Linked DNA regions of Drosophila melanogaster. The gene in region 1 interacts genetically with each later gene. Each region holds a gene or a part of one and is shown in the gene's direction. Other genes may lie near its edges. The genes, in order: sub, nod, Klp61F and tacc.

Region 1 (4,629 bases):
GCCCATCATAGCTGCTGGTGACAAAAATATTGCCATCGCGGTGGAAGTCCACCGATGTTATGGGATCCTGGTGGGCGTGGACGATTTTGAGCGTTTTGCCAGTGCGGACATCCCAAAGGCGCACTGTTTCGTCAAAGCTAGTGGAGGCCAGCAGATTGGCCTGCGGATTAAAGCAGCAGGAGAAACTGTACCTGGAATGCCCCTCCAAAACTTTGACGCAGAGCTTGCTGCGGGCATCCCAGAGACGCACGGTCATGTCATCGCTACAACTGGCAATTAATCCAGCCGCCGACCAGGCGACATCGTTGACTCCGTCTCCGTGCCCGGCCAGCGATTGAATGCATCGGGTTGCGCTCAAGTCCCAGAGCTTAAGCAGCCTATCGCCGGAGCTGCTGACCAAGTTCTCGCCATTCGAACTAAACTTTAGACCAGTAACGCAACCACTGTGACCGAGGAGCGAGTGCTTAATGGCGTAGCCCGGAGACATGGAGTTCTCCAAATGGAACTGACTTGGTAGCATAGGCATCTTAAAGGAATCGAAAGCGGCCTCCGGGATGGCGATTTCAGTTTCGGAATCTCCAGGAGTCGAAGCTGTTTCAATCAATTCCATAATTTTATTTTTTTCGCCCAATTTTAATTTCTTACGAATCCTGCGAAAAGTTCGAAAACTTGGCGATGATGGTGACAGTTCCTGAGTTGACAAAAGCTTGCTGATATTTTGTAAAAAGGGTTTTCATTTCATCATTTACCCGATTATTTTTGGCGCCCAGTTTTAAGTTTTTATTATTTTTTTAAATTAATTACCTACAAATGTTGAGTCTGTTTTTAATTATCGCGAGAAAAAGTACACACGTACTGATAATTCATTAAACACTTTTTTACAATATTTGTCTAGTACATACAATTGTTAATTGTTTCTACAACTACTTATAACTCATTTAGTCAATATTTGTTTGAATTCCCAGACAGGGGGCGTAAAAAATCAGACTGGAAAAAGTAAACAAGCCCAATTAATTTGCGTTTTAAGGGAGTACTTATTTGGCGACAGGGTGCTCTATTTGCGCAGCCTGTTATTGTTATGCTGTCCAGACTTGTTAACCAAACATTAAACAAATGGCCGGTGCTGTGCCGTGCCGGCAATTTGTCACCTAATTATTTGTCGACGCTGCTAATCTTACATATGGGCAAAATTGGAGAATGCGCGATAATCAAGTCAGTGAACTTAATATTTGCATGGTAATTTAACAGACTTAAAGTGAATTTTTAACTTAAATTTTAGTAACATTTGGATTTTAACTGCACATATATGCCTTTATTATTTTATAAAGTTTGAATCAATGAATTTTTATACTAAAAATGTGTGCTAGTACTAGAATGAATTGAAATTATTTATAATAACTGGAACGTGTTGCTATCGATTTTTTTTTGTCAAAATTTATCTTTTTTATTAAAAATTGAATTTCTACATTAAATGTTATTGATGGTATTTTGTAACGGCTAATTCAAATGATCAACGGTCACACTAGCCAGTGGAGCTGCCAGCTATCATTTGAAATTCAAGTAAAGTTGGCAGCCCCCTGGCGTCTGAAAAATAGCGCGAAGTGAAGTAAACTAAAAAGTATCCCTTCAACCCACATAAACAGCGCAAAATGGACAGCAAGGAGGTTTCGGAGGTGCCAAGGCGGGAGGTGCGCTCCTTCCTGATGGCCCGGGATCCCTCCATCGACCGCCGCTTTCGACCGCGACCCAACAAAAAGATGCGTCTGTTTGACAACATTCAGGAGTCGGAGGAAGAAAGTTTTTCCGAATACTCGGACACGGAATCGGAGTACAAGTACCAGTCGAGCGAGGCAACCGAAGGGGCCTCATGCGCTACCAGTGCGGCAGACAGCAGCAACGTGGAAACGGGGCCACAGGTCTTCCTGCGCTTGCGTCCCGTTAAGGATGCATCCAAAGCCTACATAGTCTCGGAAGAAGCAAATGTGCTGATCACTAGCTGCAAAGTGGACTCGACCAGCAACAATGTGAACCGCATGGAAAAACACTTTGGATTCACTTCCATCTTTGACAGCACCGTTGGCCAGCGAGACATCTATGATACCTGTGTGGGTCCCAAAATTATGGAGGAGGAATGTGTGACCATTATGACATATGGCACATCGGGGTCTGGAAAAACGTATACCTTACTGGGTAAGCGAAGAGGACTTGCAACAAGTTTGCTGGGCAATTGTTAATTTAAATCCATTTTTAGGCGATGATGTGCGTGCTGGAATCATTCCGCGTGCCCTGGAAAACATATTCACCATTTACCAGGACACCGTCTTCCGATCGCCCAAGCTGAAGCTAATCAATGGCAGCATCGTGTTCTTGCAGGACGACGCCTCGCTGAAAGAGCTGCAGATTCGGAAAAAACTTTTAGACTTATGTCCGGATATCAGTGCCCACCATCAGCGTCTGAAGCAGGTCATTGATGGCGACCACATGTTCGAAACGAAGGCTTCCACCGATGTTTCCGTCTTGGTTTGGGTGTCCTTCGTGGAGATCTACAATGAACTTGTGTACGACCTGCTAGCCATTCCGCCGAAACAGGACAAACTGGGGGAGGTGCCACGAAAAAACCTGAAGATCGTGGGCAACAAAGGCCATGTGTTCATCAAGGGTCTGACCAGTGTTTTCGTGACGAGCAGCGAGGAGGCGCTGCGTCTGCTCCGGCTGGGCCAGCAGCGCTCCACGTACGCCTCCACCTCGGTGAACGCCAACTCTAGTCGGTCGCACTGTGTCTTTACCGTGGACATACTAAAGTACAATCGGTCGGGCATCACCACACAGAGTTCGTACAAATTCTGCGACCTGGCGGGTTCGGAACGCGTCAACAACACGGGTACCTCCGGCCTTCGTCTCAAGGAAGCAAAGAACATAAATACGTCGCTGATGGTGCTGGGTCGATGTTTAGATGCGGCCAGTACAGTTCAGAAAAAGAAAAACGCCGACATCATTCCATATCGCGACTCCAAGCTAACAATGCTGTTGCAGGCTGCTTTGCTGGGCAAGGAGAAATTGGCCATGATCGTGACAGTTACCCCTCTGGATAAATACTACGAGGAGAACCTGAACGTCTTGAACTTTGCTTCCATCGCCAAGAACATCATCTTCAAGGAGCCCGTAATTAAACAGCATCGCGTCAGCTACTGTGGTTTCATGGAATTCTCAAAGATGTCGACGTGCGAGGGCGGCGACTACACCAAGGAACTTGAGGACGAAAACGTGCGCCTGCAGTTAGAGATTGAGCAACTGAAGTACGATCATGTGCTGCAAATGCAGCTGCTTGAGGAGAAACTGCGAAGGGAACTGACTGCCACCTACCAGGAGATTATCCAAAACAACAAGAAGCAATATGAAGACGAATGCGAGAAAAAATTACTAATTGCGCAAAGAGAATCAGAATTTATGGTTAGTAAATATAACAATATAATATAATAGTATATAATATAAACTATATATTTAACAGCTTTCCTCTCAACGCCGAAGGTATGAAGAACAAATAGAAGACCTCAAAGATGAGATAGAGGAACTTAAGAATCCTGCAAGCGACACGGACATTTCTGATGATCCAAACGAATCTAAGTCTCCCATCGAAATCCTCGATGATGATTAGTTTCTTTAATTCACAATTTTTAATTTGTTAAGTGTTAGTGATTTTAAAATTTAAATTTGAAACTTGATATGTTGCAGAGTTGGCCACGTTTTCCAATAAACATGTGAATGATCAATAAACTAGTGACACAAATAATGATGTGATTCTGTGCCAAGAAACTTCGAGCAAGAATACCAGAATCGCAATTACCATAAATGTTCCGTACGCCTGCCACATCCACTGAAAATCCACAATCCTTAGCGAGGTAGGGTGCTCTCTTTCCTTCAACTGCAGGCTGGGATCCTCCAGACCGGACAATCCAGCTGCTGTCATGTCGTAGTAGTGCATTCCCACCCAGAAGTCATAGAGTCCATTGGCATTTACCTCCAAAATAAGTTGGCTGACGGGCTCTGTGAACAAGGAATTCTGCGGCCATTGGAAAGAGAGCAGCGCCAGGGACCACAGGCAGTCATCCGTGGAGTAGATAAACAGCTCTCGGGTGAAGCGCTTCTGCTGCTCACTGAACAAATTCCAATACAGTCGGGAGGCGAAGTAGGCATTGCTTGTGTTCCTTCCATTCCTCAAGTGATTGTACTCACTCACATTGACCACCAGCATGGGCACACGCAGTTTCATCCATGTGGGAAAGTCTTCCTCGGTCGTAACCAATGGTATTTTCGTGCGACGCAGACCAGCGAAACTTCGTGCTTGAAATTGCCGTGGTGGATGAGCCATTAATGTGTCCAGTCCCGCTCCAAAAATGCTGCTCACATTAAGACCCACTATTCCAAGCATCAGAAATATCAACCTGGTGGAGAAGCTTCTCGACAAGGGCAAATTGAAGGATTGGCCCAAGATTCCGCGTAAAGCTTTATCATTTAGCACAAAGTCCACCAGACGCACATCGCGATGGGTCATGTTTCGAAGGAGATTCAAAGCCAATCCATAACTGGAAACAATAACAATAGCCAGGAACATATTGGAAGCACTGCTCA
Region 2 (7,117 bases), on another chromosome or scaffold:
CTATTATTTCTAAATTGAAAACTTCACTTCCTTTGATCCAAAAGACACTGAAAAGACACGTTTGCAGTTGAGTTCATTATTTTCTGGTATACATACACACTGATTACTCATTCAATTGGCATTTTGCTCTTGTTTTTCTCCGATTGCCTTGCACTCGCATAAATTTAACACAAAAAAGAAGTTCGGGGTGTTTAGAATCCATCCACTTGGTACAGTTCCCATCGAGCTGGTGAGTACTCCGCGCAGTGCAACGTATACACACTTGAACTCGAATTCTGGCAGCAAAATGGTGGTGACCTATTAATAACACCCGCTCAATTTTCCCTCGCTTTTCCATTCAGTCTCCAACTAGCTGCAAGTGAGTACGTTACTTCCGAGATCCTCTCCAAAAAAATAAAACATAAATCCAAATCCAACCAGTGTAGCATCCATTGAATTAGATTTTCCGACACGTTGCGCCTATGACAATCCTAATTCCATCCTCTTCTCTTTCGTTTAGGTAGCTCGGATGGCCATCGAAAGGGTAAATTGGTGTTACATATAGCTTTAGAGATCGTTTCGAATCACATTGATAATCGTTCGAAACGTTCTCCGAAGCAAAATCAAGCAAGAGTAACGATTTCCGCATAGTCGAAAATGTTTAAGTTGAATTGTCTTACGGACAGTGAGATGAGTACGACTATTTGGAAATCACAAACGAATTGTTTTCATGGTTGACGCGCTTGTCAAGCTACAAAACAAAATGAATGATATACAATATACAATATACAATATGCAATACAATACAATACAAGACAAAAAAATGTGTCTTGGAACGCAACATTGTACAAGTCGCAATGCAAACTGAAGTCTTAAAAGACGTGTAAAATGTTGCAAATTAAGCAAATATATATGCATATATGGGTAACGTTTTACGCGCCTTAACCAGTCAAAATACAAAATAAATTGGTAAATTTCATATAACTAGTGAAATGTTATACGAAACTTAACAATTGCCAAATAATACAGATCGATTTAGAGCGAGATGACAATAGAGAGGCGATCTCTCTCGTATACGAGTCTTGAAAAGAAAGAGAAGGCGAACGGTGCTGGCTTAGAGAGAGATGGCAATACTAATTAACTGCAAATACATTTCCGCCATTTTGTTGGCGCTAAAAGTAACGGAAATTCGAGATGCTTTTAGGGCTGCCACCTTGGTTTCCAGGGTGACCAGAACTGACACTTAAATTACATATGACAAATAAAGACTTATCTGCTATTGCAAATACTGTTTTAAGCGGCTTTTTTTCCATCAAATTTGTTAGTTCTTGTTCCTGTTTTAATAAGTTGGCAATACCGATCCTCCGCACTTGCTATGTGTGTCTATAATCATATAGGGTGGCAGCGCAGGCCAGGGCTGGCAAGGGTGGCGCATTAACAGAGTTCTGTAATGTTATGCTCATGAACAATAGCGATGCCATTGTGCACGATATGTTTGCAAAACATGTTAAGTTGTGTGCAGTATTTTAGCAAGATTAAGTTAAATTAGAGATGGCCCCTACAACATACACATACCAAAAGCGAGGTCACAAGCCACAATGTAAATATCCATGACACCAACCCAGATCGTTCTTAGTGTTATTACCGCGACGGTCACACTGCCAAAATCAATTTGAAATGCAAAGGTCGCTTGGCTTCGTCAAAAAAGTAAAATAATTACGGTGAATGCAAGCCAATTGTGCATTATTCAAACAACTTCAATTCTTCAATCTGCATGGAGGGCGCCAAATTAAGCGCAGTTCGGATTGCGGTCCGCGAGGCGCCGTACCGCCAGTTCTTGGGGCGTCGGGAGCCCAGCGTCGTCCAGTTTCCGCCATGGAGCGACGGAAAGGTATGTGCCCCACCATTGGCCATGTGCATGTCTAACGGTATATGACCGCCATCTCGCTTTGTAGTCGTTAATAGTGGATCAGAATGAATTCCACTTCGATCACGCCTTTCCCGCGACCATCAGCCAGGATGAGATGTACCAGGCGCTGATCTTGCCGCTGGTGGACAAGCTGCTCGAGGGATTCCAGTGCACTGCACTCGCCTACGGCCAGACGGGAACGGGCAAGAGCTACTCAATGGGCATGACACCTCCGGGAGAGGTGGGTTTTTCGTTTAGCCATCAGTGGCTTAAATCTTTCCCACTGATCTATCGCTTCTATTCCTTTACAGATACTGCCCGAGCACCTGGGTATTCTGCCTCGCGCCCTGGGCGACATTTTTGAGCGCGTGACCGCCCGGCAGGAGAACAACAAGGATGCGATTCAGGTGTACGCCTCCTTCATAGAGATCTACAATGAGAAACCCTTCGATCTGCTGGGCTCCACGCCACATATGCCCATGGTGGCGGCGCGTTGCCAGCGATGCACCTGCCTTCCTTTGCACAGCCAGGCGGATCTGCATCACATCTTGGAGCTAGGCACTCGCAATCGACGCGTTCGTCCCACCAATATGAATTCCAATAGTTCGCGATCCCATGCCATAGTCACCATTCACGTGAAGAGTAAAACCCATCACTCGCGGATGAATATTGTGGATCTGGCCGGTTCAGAAGGCGTGCGGCGAACTGGGCACGAGGGCGTGGCCAGGCAGGAGGGCGTCAACATCAATCTGGGCCTGTTGAGCATCAACAAGGTGGTGATGTCCATGGCGGCGGGCCACACAGTGATACCATACCGCGACAGCGTCCTTACCACAGTTCTGCAGGGTAAGTGCTACGTTTTGGATCGTCTCATGCTCAATTAGTTAGTGGACCATTTGGGTTCAAGCCTTTATTGATTAGCGACTTAGTGACTACTATAAATATTGACTGCAACTTCTTGCCGTTTTCATTCTTTGCAGCCTCGCTAACCGCGCAGTCGTATCTGACCTTTCTGGCCTGCATCAGTCCGCATCAATGCGATCTCAGCGAGACGTTGTCCACCCTGCGTTTTGGCACCAGTGCCAAGAAGCTTCGGCTGAATCCGATGCAAGTGGCGCGCCAGAAGGTGAGCCATCTATATGTAATTAAAGTCCACACAGTCGAGGATCACCTCGCGTATACGCTGTTTAAATGTAGCCTCGTTGCCCGCGCCCAGGAAACCAGCTCCATGGAGATCCGTAGTGGCCCCCGCCTCGATGCGCTCGCTAATTGCCTGAAGGTCGGGCACATCCTGACCCTGCATCGTTACAATGGGTAGAACCATCATGGCGAGAAGCAGGCCCACAGCCGCTTTGGTAGCCACCTGTTCATCGAATGCAGGACGGGGAAAAAGTTGCTCCACCCGCTCGCCTAGTCTGTTGCGAACACAACAATACAATAGTTGAAGCTCTAGGATTCTTATACTTTTACTTACCTAATCAGCTGCAGGCCCAACTCTTCATAGTAATCCTCGAGCATATTTTCGAGGTGTCGCTGCCGGAATCGCCGCGAAGTGCAAGTGAAGAGGAAGTAAGCTAGATCGGTGACCGGCGAGGCATATCGCATCAGTTGCCAGTCGATCAGGCGCACGTCCTCGAGCTCGCCCCGCTCTGTACTCTTGTAGAGAATGTTGTTATTCCAGCAATCGCCGTGGCAAATAACAGCGAAGGGTTCGCAATTGAATCCGCTGACCAAAGGCAGCAGCAGCTCAAAGTACGATCCTCTGGCGAAGTACGCCTCCAGACGAACTCTGTATGCATCATCCGCCGGTGCGAGCAGTGCGGATAGGGCGCTTTCCTTCAGATTCTCGAAGTAGACCCCCAAGGCATGATCATCGCGTCGCTGCTCAAAGATATCCACCAGCTGCTGCAGTTGTTGCATTTTCTCGGGCAACTGCCGTTTCCCGGCCAATGATATAGCATGTAATTTGGCATAGGTGAGCATTACGCGACGCACATGCTCGACGGATAGGTCGAGAAAGCGATTGTGCAGTGAGAAGCCGGCACAAGACAGATCCTCCAGCACGATGCACTCGTTGGGCTCATCCTGGCGAGTTCCGAAACAGAGCGCGTGCTGCCGGAAACGATCATCTCCGATTATCTTCCACTTATCCTGAATTAACGCAGTCAGCGGCAGAAAGACCTCATATGCTGCCGTCTCGCGCAGGAAACATGGTCGTGCAAAGAATTGCTTGCGGCGCACGCGATTCTGTGGCGGCAGTTTAACCACCAGGCTGCGTTTCGAATCGGATGCCGCCTGTAGGCGCCACACCACGCCCAAATAGTTGTCGCCCTTGGCACTCGCCCTTTCCAGACGCAGTTCCGGATTGGCGCCCAGCTCTGGCCACAGCTGGCTGACCAGTTGGCGAAGGAACTGTGTAACCTGCTCGTTGGGCAGATCTTCGTCTGGCTTGGCTGTGTCCTCTTGTTGCTCTACAGGACTCTCCATCCTGTCTGGGTGCTCTCTATTCACCTCCCCATTTCGTTCATCTTCGGTGTCTTCATGTGGATCTGGTTCGGCTTCCTTCTGATCAACTTGCTCTGCTGGAGCTGCTAGGTTGCCAGTGAGCTGAATCTCACTCGCAGAGATTTCTGCTAGTTTTTCCCTGTCCGCATTCTCTGCCAGCTCATCCTTTGATTTCGCCTCAGGCTCATCATCTCCTTCCAACAACTGATCTCCAAATGTTTGATTCAACTGGGGAATTTTTTTATCAAGCTCCTCTATGCCTTTGAGCTCTTGTTTGTCGATCACTTTCGAATCAATCTCTTTGGCTAGTTGTTTTTCAATGTGCTCCACCTCAGCACCTCTCGGTTCCTCCAACTCTGCCACCAATTCCTCCTTTTTCACACGATTATCTTCTAAATCCTGCACTGCTTCGCTGTTATTTGAGTTCTCCTCCTTTGGTTCCTCAACATCAATTCGTTTAGGTGACTTCTGATCGACATCTGGATAACTTTCTGTTGAGTCTGGTGAATTTCCTTGATCGGATGCCACTTCTATCACTTCCTGACTTTGGCGATCTTTCTGCTCCCCCTCCTGCGTCTTCTCACTGGGCTGTTCCATGGCACACTACGCCACCGCCGCGAGTGTGGATCGTTTATATAGAGAAACCAAGCCGTACCGAACCGAACTCATTCCAACCGCACTGACCGCAAATCGAACGATGCAGTTACTCGAGTTTCATCCACCCATCTTGCTCTGATTGCAGCAATCGCTGGCCGCACGGACAACACACGTCTTCCGCCAAGCGCTATGCACCTCGACGGCCATCAAGTCAAACGCAGCCAATCATAATAGCATAGTGGTTCCAAAATCCAAATATAGCACAACCAAGCCGCTGAGCGCCGTGCTCCATCGAACTCGCTCCGAACTTGGCATGACGCCCAAAGCTAAGAAAAGGTGAGTAACACGGAATGGACCAAAAGCGAAGATGATCTAATCCTCCCATATCTTCCTCCATAGGGCTCGCGAGCTATTGGAGCTGGAGGAGACCACGCTGGAGCTCTCGTCTATACACATTCAGGACAGCAGTCTGAGTCTGTTGGGTTTCCATAGCGATAGCGATAAGGATAGGCATTTAATGCCTCCCCCAACAGGGCAAGAGCCAAGGCAAGCCAGCAGCCAGAACTCTACGCTAATGGGCATTGTCGAAGAGACCGAGCCCAAGGAATCGTCAAAGGTGCAACAGTCAATGGTTGCCCCCACGGTGCCCACAACTGTACGCTGCCAGCTGTTCAACACCACCATCAGTCCCATCAGTCTACGGGCATCCAGCTCTCAGCGAGAACTTAGCGGCATCCAGCCAATGGAGGAGACAGTAGTGGCTTCGCCACAGCAGCCATGCCTTCGTCGTTCCGTGCGTCTAGCGAGTAGCATGCGTTCGCAGAACTATGGAGCCATTCCCAAGGTTATGAATTTGCGGCGCAGCACGCGGCTGGCGGGAATCCGGGAACATGCCACCTCCGTTGTTGTGAAAAACGAGACGGATGCGATACCGCACCTTCGAAGTACAGTGCAAAAAAAACGTACGCGAAACGTGAAACCTGCGCCCAAGGCCTGGATGGCCAATAATACAAAATGTTTTCTGGACCTGCTTAACAATGGAAACGTTAAGCAATTGCAGGAGATTCCAGGGATCGGTCCAAAGTCCGCCTTTAGTTTGGCCTTGCACAGGTAAGTTACTTACATAGTTGGCATACCTTTATTTGCGTTTTACCCAATAACCCTTAATCCGTAATCCACATTTTTCAGATCCCGCCTGGGTTGCTTCGAGAATCTTTTTCAAGTCAAATCCCTGCCCATTTGGTCGGGAAATAAATGGGAACGATTTTGTCAAATTAACTGTCTCGACACTTGATACAATTACTAATTAAATAGCATTTTAATTCGAATATAGTATAGTGATTGTTATTTATGTGGCATATACTTTGATTTTACAACTATAGTAGGAGTAAAAAAAGGAGCCGGATATCCTAAAACAAACAGTTATATATGTGTATGTGTAATATTTCTCAAGATGTTTACTTATTTTTTGTTTTCGACTATAATTTATTTGATGATAGCTTAGACTACCTATTAAATAAGCGCTATGTAATCTAATATTTAATTGCATTTTTTGATTTAAAGTAAAATAACTTTTAGGTCAATAACAATAATAATAGGACTTTTACACTTTGACACTTTTTATTCTTGGCATATAATTTTTAGACAATATACATATATATATACATTGATTATTGAAGTCGTCGATCTTCACTCTTCGCACTCACTCAACAGGGGGATTCTATCTACGAATCCATCAGTTTCGGCCGCTTCGATTCCAGTTTAGTTAGCACTCTCTCCTGGTTGATTTGGTATATACATACATACATATTTGATATATATATGTATATAGGTATGTATGATCATACGATTAGCATACGAGATAAGCTGCCAATCCAATCCAAACACATGGCGCTGGAAATCGGCATTCCATACACATTCCTACTCTCTTTTGGCTGGAAATCTTATCCGATTTCCCTTCGCTTCAAACATCAAAATACTCTGTTTGGGTTTCCCGAGCGTTGATTCATTAATCTAGCCATGATATAACAACCAAAATAATATCAAGCTATAGAATATATTTTTTAAAGAAAAAAAATCAGTCTGCGGGCATCCAGTTCTCAGCGAGAACTTAGCGGCATCCAGCTA
Region 3 (6,729 bases), on another chromosome or scaffold:
GAAATATACCAAAAGAAATACCAAGTATCGATACCACAAGTCGACGAACATTTTGGCGCGAATCCATCACTAGATCCCCAAACCAAAGAAAAACAGAGAGGATCAACAATGAGCCGACAAACAAAAATGTTCGGCGAGAAAGCCTTCGACCTGCTAAAAGAACTGGAGAGATCGTCGCAGACAATTCCCGCCTTCGACGACGATGGGGTGCGCCAGGTGCTGGAGGAGATCAAGGCGATATTCGAGGAGAACGTGGCCCAGGCCTCCAGCTACAATGCTTCCGGGGATCGCAGTCTGTGGCCCCTGCTCAACTTCAGGCACGCAGCTCTCCAGAGGAACAAGAGGTGCCTGCTGGCCTACCTATACGAGCGGTGCAGGAGGATCAAGGCCCTCAGGTGGGAGTTTGGACCCATTATCCCCGGGGACATCAAGCAGGCACTCTGCGAACCGGAGGTCACCTTCTTCAACAACTACTCCAAGTCCCTGGCTGCCTACATGTGCAGTGCGGGCTACAACCAGGGCTTGCCCATTGATCTAACCAACAATCTGCGTCCGCCCAAGTCACTTTACATCGAGGTGCGCTGCATGGAGGACTATGGGAAGTTCGAGCTGGACGACGGCGAGGTGATCCACCTGAAGAAGAACAGCCAGCACTATCTGCCCCGAGCTCAGGTGGAGTCTCTCGTGAGGCAGGGCATTCTTCACCACATAGCCTAGTCGGGATTATTTGATAATAAGAGTTTACTATACATATTTAATGGTTTAATGTAGAACAAATAAAAGATAAAAAATTATTTAATTCAAATAATTTGAACATTCTGTAGTTTTCCAATACTTGTATTTTTCGATGTTGGTATTTTCAGGGTGCCGTGTTGCGGTCACACTATTTGCGCATTATTTTAAAATTGAACGGACAACTGAAGACGCTGCTTCTCTCTGTTCTCATTGGAAATAGTGCGAAAATTGGTTTTCCACGCCAGCCTTCTGTAAATAGTAGTTACAGTTATCAGCATTCGGCTCGGTGGAAGGTGAAGCACAAGGATTTCCAGGAATCAAACACACACACACACGCATACCGATACACGCGACAGGCGTCATTTTTTGGACTGTACGCGCTAAAACCACAATTAATTGTTTCAATTGATCAATATGGACATATCTGGTGGGAATACGTCGCGCCAGCCCCAAAAGAAGTCCAACCAAAACATCCAGGTGTATGTGCGCGTCAGGTGAGTTTGTATATGTAACCAAAACCCCTTAAAAAGATCTACATATATCTTCTATATCTTTTGTAGACCCCTTAATTCTCGGGAACGTTGCATCCGCTCGGCCGAAGTCGTGGATGTGGTCGGACCACGGGAAGTGGTCACCCGCCACACGCTGGACTCCAAGCTCACCAAGAAGTTCACCTTTGACCGCAGTTTTGGCCCCGAGTCCAAGCAGTGCGATGTCTACTCCGTCGTGGTGTCTCCGCTGATCGAGGAGGTCCTCAATGGCTATAACTGCACGGTGTTTGCTTATGGCCAGACGGGCAACAATCTGCGTCCGCCCAAGTCACTTTACATCGAGGTGCGCTGCATGGAGGACTATGGGAAGTTCGAGCTGGACGACGGCGAGGTGATCCACCTGAAGAAGAACAGCCAGCACTATCTGCCCCGAGCTCAGGTGGAGTCTCTCGTGAGGCAGGGCATTCTTCACCACATAGCCTAGTCGGGATTATTTGATAATAAGAGTTTACTATACATATTTAATGGTTTAATGTAGAACAAATAAAAGATAAAAAATTATTTAATTCAAATAATTTGAACATTCTGTAGTTTTCCAATACTTGTATTTTTCGATGTTGGTATTTTCAGGGTGCCGTGTTGCGGTCACACTATTTGCGCATTATTTTAAAATTGAACGGACAACTGAAGACGCTGCTTCTCTCTGTTCTCATTGGAAATAGTGCGAAAATTGGTTTTCCACGCCAGCCTTCTGTAAATAGTAGTTACAGTTATCAGCATTCGGCTCGGTGGAAGGTGAAGCACAAGGATTTCCAGGAATCAAACACACACACACACGCATACCGATACACGCGACAGGCGTCATTTTTTGGACTGTACGCGCTAAAACCACAATTAATTGTTTCAATTGATCAATATGGACATATCTGGTGGGAATACGTCGCGCCAGCCCCAAAAGAAGTCCAACCAAAACATCCAGGTGTATGTGCGCGTCAGGTGAGTTTGTATATGTAACCAAAACCCCTTAAAAAGATCTACATATATCTTCTATATCTTTTGTAGACCCCTTAATTCTCGGGAACGTTGCATCCGCTCGGCCGAAGTCGTGGATGTGGTCGGACCACGGGAAGTGGTCACCCGCCACACGCTGGACTCCAAGCTCACCAAGAAGTTCACCTTTGACCGCAGTTTTGGCCCCGAGTCCAAGCAGTGCGATGTCTACTCCGTCGTGGTGTCTCCGCTGATCGAGGAGGTCCTCAATGGCTATAACTGCACGGTGTTTGCTTATGGCCAGACGGGCACAGGGAAGACCCACACCATGGTGGGCAACGAGACTGCCGAACTGAAATCCTCCTGGGAAGATGTGAGTGAACAAAAATTCAAATCAAAACCATATCAACCATATCAGCGTAGGGCCCTACATTCTCACTTTCGCAGTTTAACCAAACAAAAAAGGTCTTTGCCATTCTTAGCCATCTGGCTCAAGGCCATCGAAACCAGTTTTTCTTTTCTAAGAATCGCTAATCTAACCTTTTCCAATTTGTCTTCCCGCTTAGGACTCTGACATTGGCATCATACCGCGCGCTCTGAGTCACCTTTTCGATGAGCTGCGCATGATGGAGGTGGAGTACACTATGCGCATTTCCTACTTGGAACTGTACAATGAGGAGCTGTGCGATCTACTGTCCACCGATGACACCACCAAGATACGCATTTTCGATGACAGCACCAAGAAGGGATCGGTGATTATCCAGGGCCTGGAGGAGATACCAGTGCACAGCAAGGATGATGTGTACAAGCTGCTGGAGAAGGGAAAGGAGCGTCGCAAAACAGCCACTACGCTGATGAATGCACAGTCCTCACGCTCCCACACTGTATTTTCTATAGTTGTGCACATCAGGGAGAATGGCATCGAAGGAGAGGACATGCTGAAAATCGGTAAACTGAATCTGGTGGATCTGGCGGGCAGTGAAAATGTTTCCAAGGCTGGGAATGAAAAGGGAATACGTGTGCGGGAAACAGTAAACATCAATCAGAGCCTCTTGACTCTCGGTAGAGTAATTACCGCTTTGGTCGATCGCGCTCCTCACGTTCCATATCGTGAATCAAAGCTGACTAGACTGCTGCAAGAATCTCTGGGTGGCAGGACCAAGACCTCCATCATAGCCACCATATCGCCGGGCCACAAGGACATCGAGGAGACCCTGAGCACTTTAGAGTACGCTCATCGCGCCAAGAACATTCAAAACAAGCCCGAAGTCAATCAGAAGCTGACCAAAAAGACTGTGCTCAAGGAATACACCGAAGAAATCGACAAGCTTAAAAGAGATCTTATGGCGGCCAGGGACAAGAATGGCATCTATTTGGCCGAGGAAACCTACGGGGAGATAACTTTGAAGTTAGAATCCCAGAACCGCGAGCTTAACGAGAAAATGCTGCTGCTCAAGGCTTTGAAGGACGAACTCCAGAACAAGGAGAAGATCTTCAGTGAGGTGAGCATGAGTCTTGTGGAGAAAACGCAGGAGCTGAAAAAGACCGAGGAGAACCTACTGAACACGAAGGGTACTTTGCTCCTGACCAAGAAAGTGCTGACCAAGACCAAGCGACGATACAAGGAAAAAAAGGAGTTGGTGGCCTCGCATATGAAAACGGAGCAGGTTTTGACCACACAGGCTCAGGAGATCCTAGCCGCTGCTGATCTGGCCACTGATGATACTCATCAGCTGCACGGAACCATCGAAAGAAGGCGTGAGTTGGATGAGAAGATTCGCCGATCTTGCGATCAGTTCAAAGATCGTATGCAGGATAATTTGGAAATGATCGGTGGCAGCCTGAACTTGTATCAGGATCAGCAGGCAGCCCTCAAGGAGCAGCTAAGCCAGGAAATGGGTAAGCTATCTACAGAAATCAATTTGTATATTATTGTACATAAGTAAAATTTTATAAATCTCCAGTAAACTCGAGCTATGTGAGCCAACGCCTTGCACTAAATTCCAGCAAAAGCATCGAAATGCTTAAGGAGATGTGTGCCCAATCGCTACAGGATCAGACCAACCTCCATAATAAGTTAATAGGAGAAGTCATGAAGATCAGCGATCAGCACTCTCAGGCATTTGTCGCCAAGCTGATGGAGCAGATGCAGCAGCAACAGCTTTTGATGAGCAAAGAAATTCAGACTAACCTGCAGGTGATCGAGGAAAACAACCAGCGGCACAAAGCCATGCTGGACTCTATGCAGGAAAAGTTCGCCACCATAATTGACAGCAGCTTACAGTCTGTGGAAGAACATGCGAAGCAAATGCACAAGAAGTTGGAGCAGCTCGGGGCAATGAGTTTGCCAGATGCGGAGGAACTGCAGAATCTTCAAGAGGAGTTGGCGAATGAACGAGCTCTGGCGCAGCAGGAGGATGCTCTCCTTGAGTCCATGATGATGCAGATGGAACAGATCAAGAACTTGCGGTCCAAAAATAGCATCAGCATGTCCGTACATCTTAATAAGATGGAGGAGAGTCGACTGACGAGAAATCATCGCATCGATGATATTAAGTCTGGTATCCAAGACTACCAAAAGTTGGGCATAGAAGCTTCCCAATCCGCACAAGCGGAGCTCACCAGCCAAATGGAGGCGGGAATGCTTTGTCTGGACCAAGGCGTTGCCAACTGTTCGATGCTTCAGGTGCACATGAAGAATCTCAACCAGAAATACGAAAAGGAAACAAATGAGAATGTTGGTTCCGTTCGAGTGCACCACAATCAGGTGGAAATTATTTGCCAAGAGAGCAAGCAGCAGCTTGAGGCGGTGCAGGAGAAAACCGAAGTTAACTTGGAACAGATGGTGGATGCAAGGCAGCAGCTTATCACCGAGGACAGACAGCGATTCATAGGCCATGCCACTGTAGCCACTGATCTTGTCCAAGAGTCGAACCGGCAGTTCTCGGAGCATGCTGAACACCAACGGCAGCAGCTGCAAATTTGCGAGCAAGAGCTTGTACGCTTCCAACAGTCGGAGTTGAAAACGTACGCCCCAACTGGGACCACGCCCTCCAAAAGGGATTTCGTTTATCCGCGCACCCTCGTGGCCACGTCGCCACATCAGGAAATTGTGAGGCGCTATCGCCAAGAGCTGGACTGGTCAGATCTGGACACCACGGCCACTATAGATGAGGTAACCTAAAATCCTTCAACCTTGTATGTTGAAAAGCACCAACTTTTATGTTTCCAATCCGTAGTGCAGCGAGGGTGAGCATGACGTCTCCATGCATTCCGTCCAGGAGCTGTCCGAAACTGAAACCATAATGAACTCCACGCCCATTGAGCCCGTGGATGGTGTCACCGTGAAGCGTGGGTGCGGCACCACCCGCAATTCCAATTCGAACGCCCTAAAGCCACCCGTAGCTACTGGTGGAAAACGCAGCAGCTCGTTGTCACGTTCCCTGACACCCAGTAAAACGTCACCTCGAGGTTCTCCCGCCTTCGTCAGGGTAAGTCAAGTGCAAGTCCGCTAATGACTTAACAAATAAAGGGTGGGGATATATTATCATTGCTTTTATTTTCAATATTTTTAGCACAACAAAGAAAACGTAGCCTGATTGCATTCGATGACAGTAGTAGTCTCCCCTTCCCAGTAACCCGTTTATGTTAGTGGATTTCGGATCGCTGTGTTTGTTTGGCTCTTCTGGATATTCATTTTATCTGTATATCAATCTTTGGAATTTCGTACATTTATTATTTAAATAAACTCAGTATGCTATGTAAAGTTAAGGAAATCTTTAGTTCAAGTGCAGGTTTAAGATATATCAGAAGGTATTCTTAAACTTCGATACTATTTTTTAGGGAAGAAGTGAATTTGGTTTTTTAATGATGTCATGCCTTCCAAGGAAGCGCTTTATAATTAATATAATCTTAACTATTTTACTTATCATATTCTCGTTTGTGAATTTAAATTTGTTGAAGTTTTTTTTCATAAAACATTTAAACATATTAAATATCCATCTTTCAAAGTGTGTTCCTTATAATTAGAGCATCCAACATATTTAGGAAAAAACAGATGTCATAACTATCTATCTATCTATTACTAATCCTCATCCTGCTCGTCGTCATCATCCTTAAGAATGCCCAGACGGCGGGCTACCTCCTTCACATTGGCAATGAACTCCTCCTGGACCAGGTTAAAACTCATGGCCAACAAGGCAATGCCGAAAAGAAGGTACAGCGAGCAATAGGCGATGGACTGCTCCGACTCGTCCTTGACTCCTTTCGCGGGGACAAAGTCACCAAATCCTGTAATGCAAAAGCAGATGAAAAGAGTGCGCAAGGAATTGGGATAAACACAAACCGATTGTTGTCAGTGTAATGAAGCAAAAGTAGGCGGAATCCAAGAAGGACCAGTTCTCCCAGTACGCAAAAAGAACAGCTCCGCCAAGGATGTAGCTCACTACCAGAAAGACGCATAACCAAATGGGGACAGGTCGATCCTTGGGCAGCAGATCTCCATAGTCCCCAT
Region 4 (4,700 bases), on another chromosome or scaffold:
AAGGATCTACAGATGGTTTCCACCCCTTTCCACATTTGCCTATTTTTAGATCAGTTTATAGTTGGCTCTTCCTCAATATTTGTTTTCTTTTATTTTCCTGAGTTCTATTGGATATTCGAATTGCAGCTTAAGGTTCAAATTCCACTTGTATTCTATTCTATTGTATTTATTGTGTTTTCTGAAATCAGTATACTCATTTGTGGCCACTATTTGGATTCCACTCAAGGCTTATATGCTTCAACAAACTACATTGGTTTTAAATTCACCCTGAGCCGGGAACCGTGTGATATCTTGTCACCTGTCGCGCGCTGCTTGGATAACGCTAGAGCCAACATCTAACTATTCCCCCCTCGTCAAGGCCCATCGTGTGGGATTCCGTTTCATTGCTTACATTTTCTCGCCAAACATGCAAAGTCAGCCGTTGGGCAATGTGGAGCTTGCAGATAGTGCGCCATGATGCGCAACAATGGCTGTGGGATTGCATGTCATCTGGGACCCACCAGGCCTCTACACTTGAAACAATGTGATGAGCCAAATCAACATATTTATTATTTTAGAGCACTCTACTTGCCTCTACTGGTATATCTTTAAGAGAAAGCATTTTGCAAATAAGACTGTTCTCCAAAAATCCTATGGAAAATGTGCAAAATAATTCTGTCATCAAAGCGTTGAATTTGCACCAAGTTCCTCCAGTTGATTTGCGAAGACAATATAAGCAGTCGGCGGTCGCCGTATTCTCGTATCCCATTTATTTATCCCCTTCTTTAAGTGTTTCGACTTATTTGCGGTGTCTTGCACTTTCACTGCTGCCTTTCAGTCTGAATTTCGTCTGAGGCCTGTATAGTTTTTCAGTTTTTCACTGCAGTTCAGTCAAAAAGGTTGTCAACTTGAGCCCGCTCTTTTGACATTATTATTTTATAAATGTTGCCCACGACCTCGACCGTTTCCAAAATGTATTTCATATATCTAAGAGAAGTGTGTTTAAATGGATCAAGTGTGTGTTGCCCTCTAGCTTCATAAAACCCAATATATTTTCTCGAAATAGAAAAGGGTAACTATTCCAACCATAGAAAGGATAAGATTTCATCTTCAGAATCACCAGCCAAGTCTATCTGGCCACTAAGACTTATATTATTTATATGCTAATAAAATCTTTGAAGGGTATATTTCTCGTAGCTCCAAAAGCTGAGTAATGGGTAGTCGAGAAAAACGACTGAGTTCTCTGTTGTTTTGATTTAATTTTCATTAGGAATATTTGTGCTTAAAAGTTCAGAGTATAACTTATCGGAACTATTTCAAGACTAAGGATGTGCTAAATAAATGTTTTAAGTTGGTATGAAATCCATAATGTGTAATATACAAAGGTGTCTCTAGCCGCCGTCTCACATGTGAAAACATATGGCAGTATTATAAATGGAAGAGAGGACCGTGCTGATAAGGGGAGAACGCCATGTGGGCTAAAACGATCCAAACATGAAGACATACGAAAACATCCGGATCGTTATGTGGATGCCATTCAAACTATTCGTTCTCTCACTCGGTCTGTCGATCCCCCGCACTCTCGCCGTGCTCTAAGTATTTGTGCATGTGTGACGCTGAGCAGAGCAAAGCAAATTGAAAACGAAAATATTTTTAAATTGATTTTAAAGGCAGACATGATCGGGAGGCAGTGAGAACCGCACGCGACAACGGGCCGTGAGAAACCCGGAGGTATTACCCAATATAATGGAAGCGGAAAATCACAGTAAAGATTTTACCGAGTAGGCGAGCCCAAATCTGTGTCACAACAAAAACCACAAAAAAAAAAAAAAAAAAAAAACACTAAAGACCAAACTAAGGAACTCTATAGATCCATTATTTTTTGGAGCCAAGTGAACCGTATCGCGTCTCAGGAGTTAATCGTGCGTAGAGCGGCATGGATTTCCTCGCGAATATCATCAAAAGACCCAAAAGCATCGCCACCACTGGCATCAGCACCAATCAGCCAACGACAATGGAAGCCCTAGAAGCTGCTAGTCCCGCTGATGAATGTTCTACACCAAGGGATAAGGGAGGAGTTACACTTGTATCCGCGCACCTGGACTCGTTACTAGAGTCCGCCTCTGAGGAGCTGCAACGACTGGAGGGAAAGCACTGTGAACTATTTATGGAATCCATCTCGAACCCACTCCCAGCCCCCGAGGACAGCACTGATAGTAGAGAAGAAATACAGAAATTTCTAAGCGAAATAAACTTCAATCTGAACCAAGTGAGTGCTAACGAAATGGAGCACTTGCAAGCCATGAGTGGCGAGGTATGTCTGAAAGAATTAGGACTATCTTTTTATGTGCATCCCTGGGGGGGGGGGGGGGGGTGTTCTAGTATTAGGCAAACTGCATAAATCTACACATTGGAATTTTTTTGTAATGTCCCAATGTGTTTTGCCGATTGCATATATAGTATTTATGCGGTTCCACTTGGTTTTGTCACCTTATTGCGTTGCAGAAAATATTATTTTAAATAGGGTTGTATCTAGCCATTAGCTTGGGCTAATATTCCGCAGGAATCTGCTTCCCATTACCACTCAAATTTGAGCCCATTGTCAAAAAATTAAAATTAAAATACTTATCAATAAAATCGAAACGGAGAAATTGGTCTAATGCCAGAATTTTCCTAATTTTTAGTGTCTCGCTCATAAGCCGGTCACCACTCGCCTTATTCTTCTGACTTTAACCTTGCAGCACCCATTATACTGCAATGCGCTCTAATTAAATTCCGCGTGTAGAACGATGCTCCCAAACCTAAATAGACATTAAACATGGCGGCCGGCCGCATTGAATCCGCGGCATGTTTATTTCGCACTGCACAAAAGCTGACGTCGACCCAGTTCCACGTCCATCTCCCCACCTTTTGCTCCTCAATCCGTTTCGTTGCCACCCTCCCAAACATATGCCATATACCCGATTTTTACGTCTTGGCTGGCTTTTTAATTAATGACATTTGCTTTTGTTGACTGACCGACTGCGACAAACATTTGAAATGTATGTCTTTTTTAAGCGTGAATTGAAGGCATCTGTATCATATGGGCTACATTAGATGAGATTGAAGTTTTTCAAATGAAGATCATAATTTCATAATAATGTATTCTTTTGTATATGATAATAACTAAAAATGGGGGTCCTATGCCTTTGTATAATTTCTTGGCAATGGGAAAATACGGGAAAAGTCATCCCAAATGCGATTTATTTATGCCAACTGTGGTGGGGCTCTTGCCTTTTTGTGTGTCAAAAATTCTTAATTAAATGACCAACCAGCTGCTACTCGTGATCATCTTTAAAACCCCATTCCCAACATCGGTTGTTCACGGTTTAAAACTATTCGGATCATGACCGCGATGTACATCTTGATAACTATATTCTTAAATTTTGCATCTCTTGTTTGGCAGCTGAGTCCGTTGGCGGTGAAGCCCAGTCCCAAGCCAACGAGCATGGATCAACAGAAGGCAATGGCGGCAGCTCTGGGGCATCAGACGGCGGTACCCGGTGGACTTAAGCCAGAAGACGACCTCGTTCCAAAGTTTGGAGGTCTTCCCGAGTTCGATGAGACGCAAATACCGGAACTAGCTCCTTTAAGTACCGATATGGATAGTGAGTAAATCTTGTTTGTGTAACCCAGAAATCTCTTAAGGTAGAAAAATTATATTGATGTACAAAAGAATTCCATACGAAATCCGCCAGAAGAGCGAAGTAATTTCTTCTATTTCAATACCGTCATTTATACAAAGGAAAGGGCCAGCTGGGGAAAATAAATCATTTCCAAGTTTATGTATAAATTTCTCGTTGTATTAATTATATAAATAAATTTCTTATATGTATTTAATTATTATTAAAACGAATTGATTAATATATCGCATTCATTCCTCCCTTAGCTCAACTGAAATCCAACCATTCGGATTCGGATGTTTTTGTCGAGTGTTTATCGCTTCATAGCGAGCGCTACACCGGAGATCGATCGGAGTTAGAGGCATATTCAAGTGCCCTTAATGATGTTTTGGAGCAGCAGCTGTCCATGACCTCAGTTTCTACACTGGGAGCTGAATTCAACGATCCTTTGGCAGTTAGCCAGCACAACAACGTCAGCTATGAAGCCATGGATGTGGATGACCTAAACGAAACCATGGAAATGTTAAAGGACGTCTTGAATGCGGAAGACCGTCATCTTATGCAAACGCATATTCTCAGCGTAACCCAGTCAAAACCAGAGAATAATTTTGTGCACTATCATCCAAATCAGGAGCAAAATAGGGTTGAACTAGACCAGTTAGCCAAACACTCTAAACCCAATAGTGATGCAAAGGAATCAGAATCATTGGTAGAATCAGTACTGTCTGAGGAGTCTGGTACACAATCCTTTGAGCCGAAGCTCACCTTATCTGCCTTGGACTCTACGAAAGACTTAGCTAAGCATCAAGAGGAAATGCAAACAAATACAAAAGATATATTTCAGAAAGAGAAGCACCACCCGGTCAGTAGTGCTCAGGTGAAGGACGCACAAAATCCTAAGGAGCCTGAAAAGGCCTTAAATCTCAAAGAGGCTTCTTCAGAACTGTCCACAAAATCAGCAAAATCTCTAGAATACCCTAATCAAGAGAAGCAATTTTCGGTGGCAGTAGAATCAATGGAGAGACCATGCACTGCCATCAGCCTTGAGCAAAATGCATC

What was found.
Region 2: of sub (region 1) and nod, changing one enhances a phenotype caused by changing the other (phenotypic enhancement), as found in Drosophila melanogaster (one study listed by BioGRID).
Region 3: of sub (region 1) and Klp61F, changing one enhances a phenotype caused by changing the other (phenotypic enhancement), as found in Drosophila melanogaster (one study listed by BioGRID).
Region 4: of sub (region 1) and tacc, changing one enhances a phenotype caused by changing the other (phenotypic enhancement), as found in Drosophila melanogaster (one study listed by BioGRID).

Annotation. Positions count from the first base shown.
Region 1 is NT_033778.4:17,744,999-17,749,627, reverse strand, and holds sub (subito), read left to right. Parts: upstream 1-1,549; 5' UTR 1,550-1,649; coding exon 1,650-2,190; intron 2,191-2,251; coding exon 2,252-3,450; intron 3,451-3,508; coding exon 3,509-3,655; 3' UTR 3,656-3,766; downstream 3,767-4,629. Other genes in the region: CG10931 (uncharacterized protein), read right to left, coding at 1-610; Ir54a (ionotropic receptor 54a), read right to left, coding at 3,767-4,629. UniProt on the Drosophila melanogaster protein: Required during female meiosis for bipolar spindle formation in the absence of the centrosomes and chromosome homolog segregation. Also has roles in male meiosis and mitotic divisions of the early embryo.
Region 2 is NC_004354.4:11,579,171-11,586,287, forward strand, and holds nod (no distributive disjunction), read left to right. Parts: upstream 1-1,601; 5' UTR 1,602-1,753; coding exon 1,754-1,870; intron 1,871-1,934; coding exon 1,935-2,129; intron 2,130-2,199; coding exon 2,200-2,734; intron 2,735-2,786; exon of another isoform or gene 2,787-2,868; coding exon 2,869-3,014; exon of another isoform or gene 3,015-3,023; coding exon of another isoform or gene 3,024-3,303; intron 3,304-3,362; coding exon of another isoform or gene 3,363-4,990; exon of another isoform or gene 4,991-5,005; intron 5,006-5,135; coding exon 5,136-5,326; intron 5,327-5,389; coding exon 5,390-6,100; intron 6,101-6,178; coding exon 6,179-6,284; 3' UTR 6,285-6,580; downstream 6,581-7,117. Other genes in the region: pkm (pinkman), read right to left, coding at 3,024-3,303, 3,363-4,990. UniProt on the Drosophila melanogaster protein: Required for the distributive chromosome segregation of non-exchange chromosomes during meiosis. May be a microtubule motor required to hold distributively 'paired' chromosomes at the metaphase plate until anaphase.
Region 3 is NT_037436.4:1,241,054-1,247,782, reverse strand, and holds Klp61F (Kinesin-like protein at 61F), read left to right. Parts: upstream 1-1,872; 5' UTR 1,873-2,142; coding exon 2,143-2,222; intron 2,223-2,288; coding exon 2,289-2,589; intron 2,590-2,782; coding exon 2,783-4,115; intron 4,116-4,180; coding exon 4,181-5,391; intron 5,392-5,455; coding exon 5,456-5,707; intron 5,708-5,757; exon of another isoform or gene 5,758-5,791; coding exon 5,792-5,815; 3' UTR 5,816-6,215; downstream 6,216-6,729. Other genes in the region: Psf1 (partner of Sld five 1), read left to right, coding at 109-717; CG32318 (uncharacterized protein), read left to right, coding at 1,150-1,229, 1,296-1,710; galene, read right to left, coding at 6,301-6,506, 6,562-6,729. UniProt on the Drosophila melanogaster protein: Important role in mitotic dividing cells. Microtubule motor required for spindle body separation.
Region 4 is NT_033777.3:4,743,390-4,748,089, reverse strand, and holds the start of tacc (transforming acidic coiled-coil protein), read left to right. Parts: upstream 1-1,675; 5' UTR 1,676-1,915; coding exon 1,916-2,293; intron 2,294-3,424; coding exon 3,425-3,626; intron 3,627-3,907; coding exon 3,908-4,700.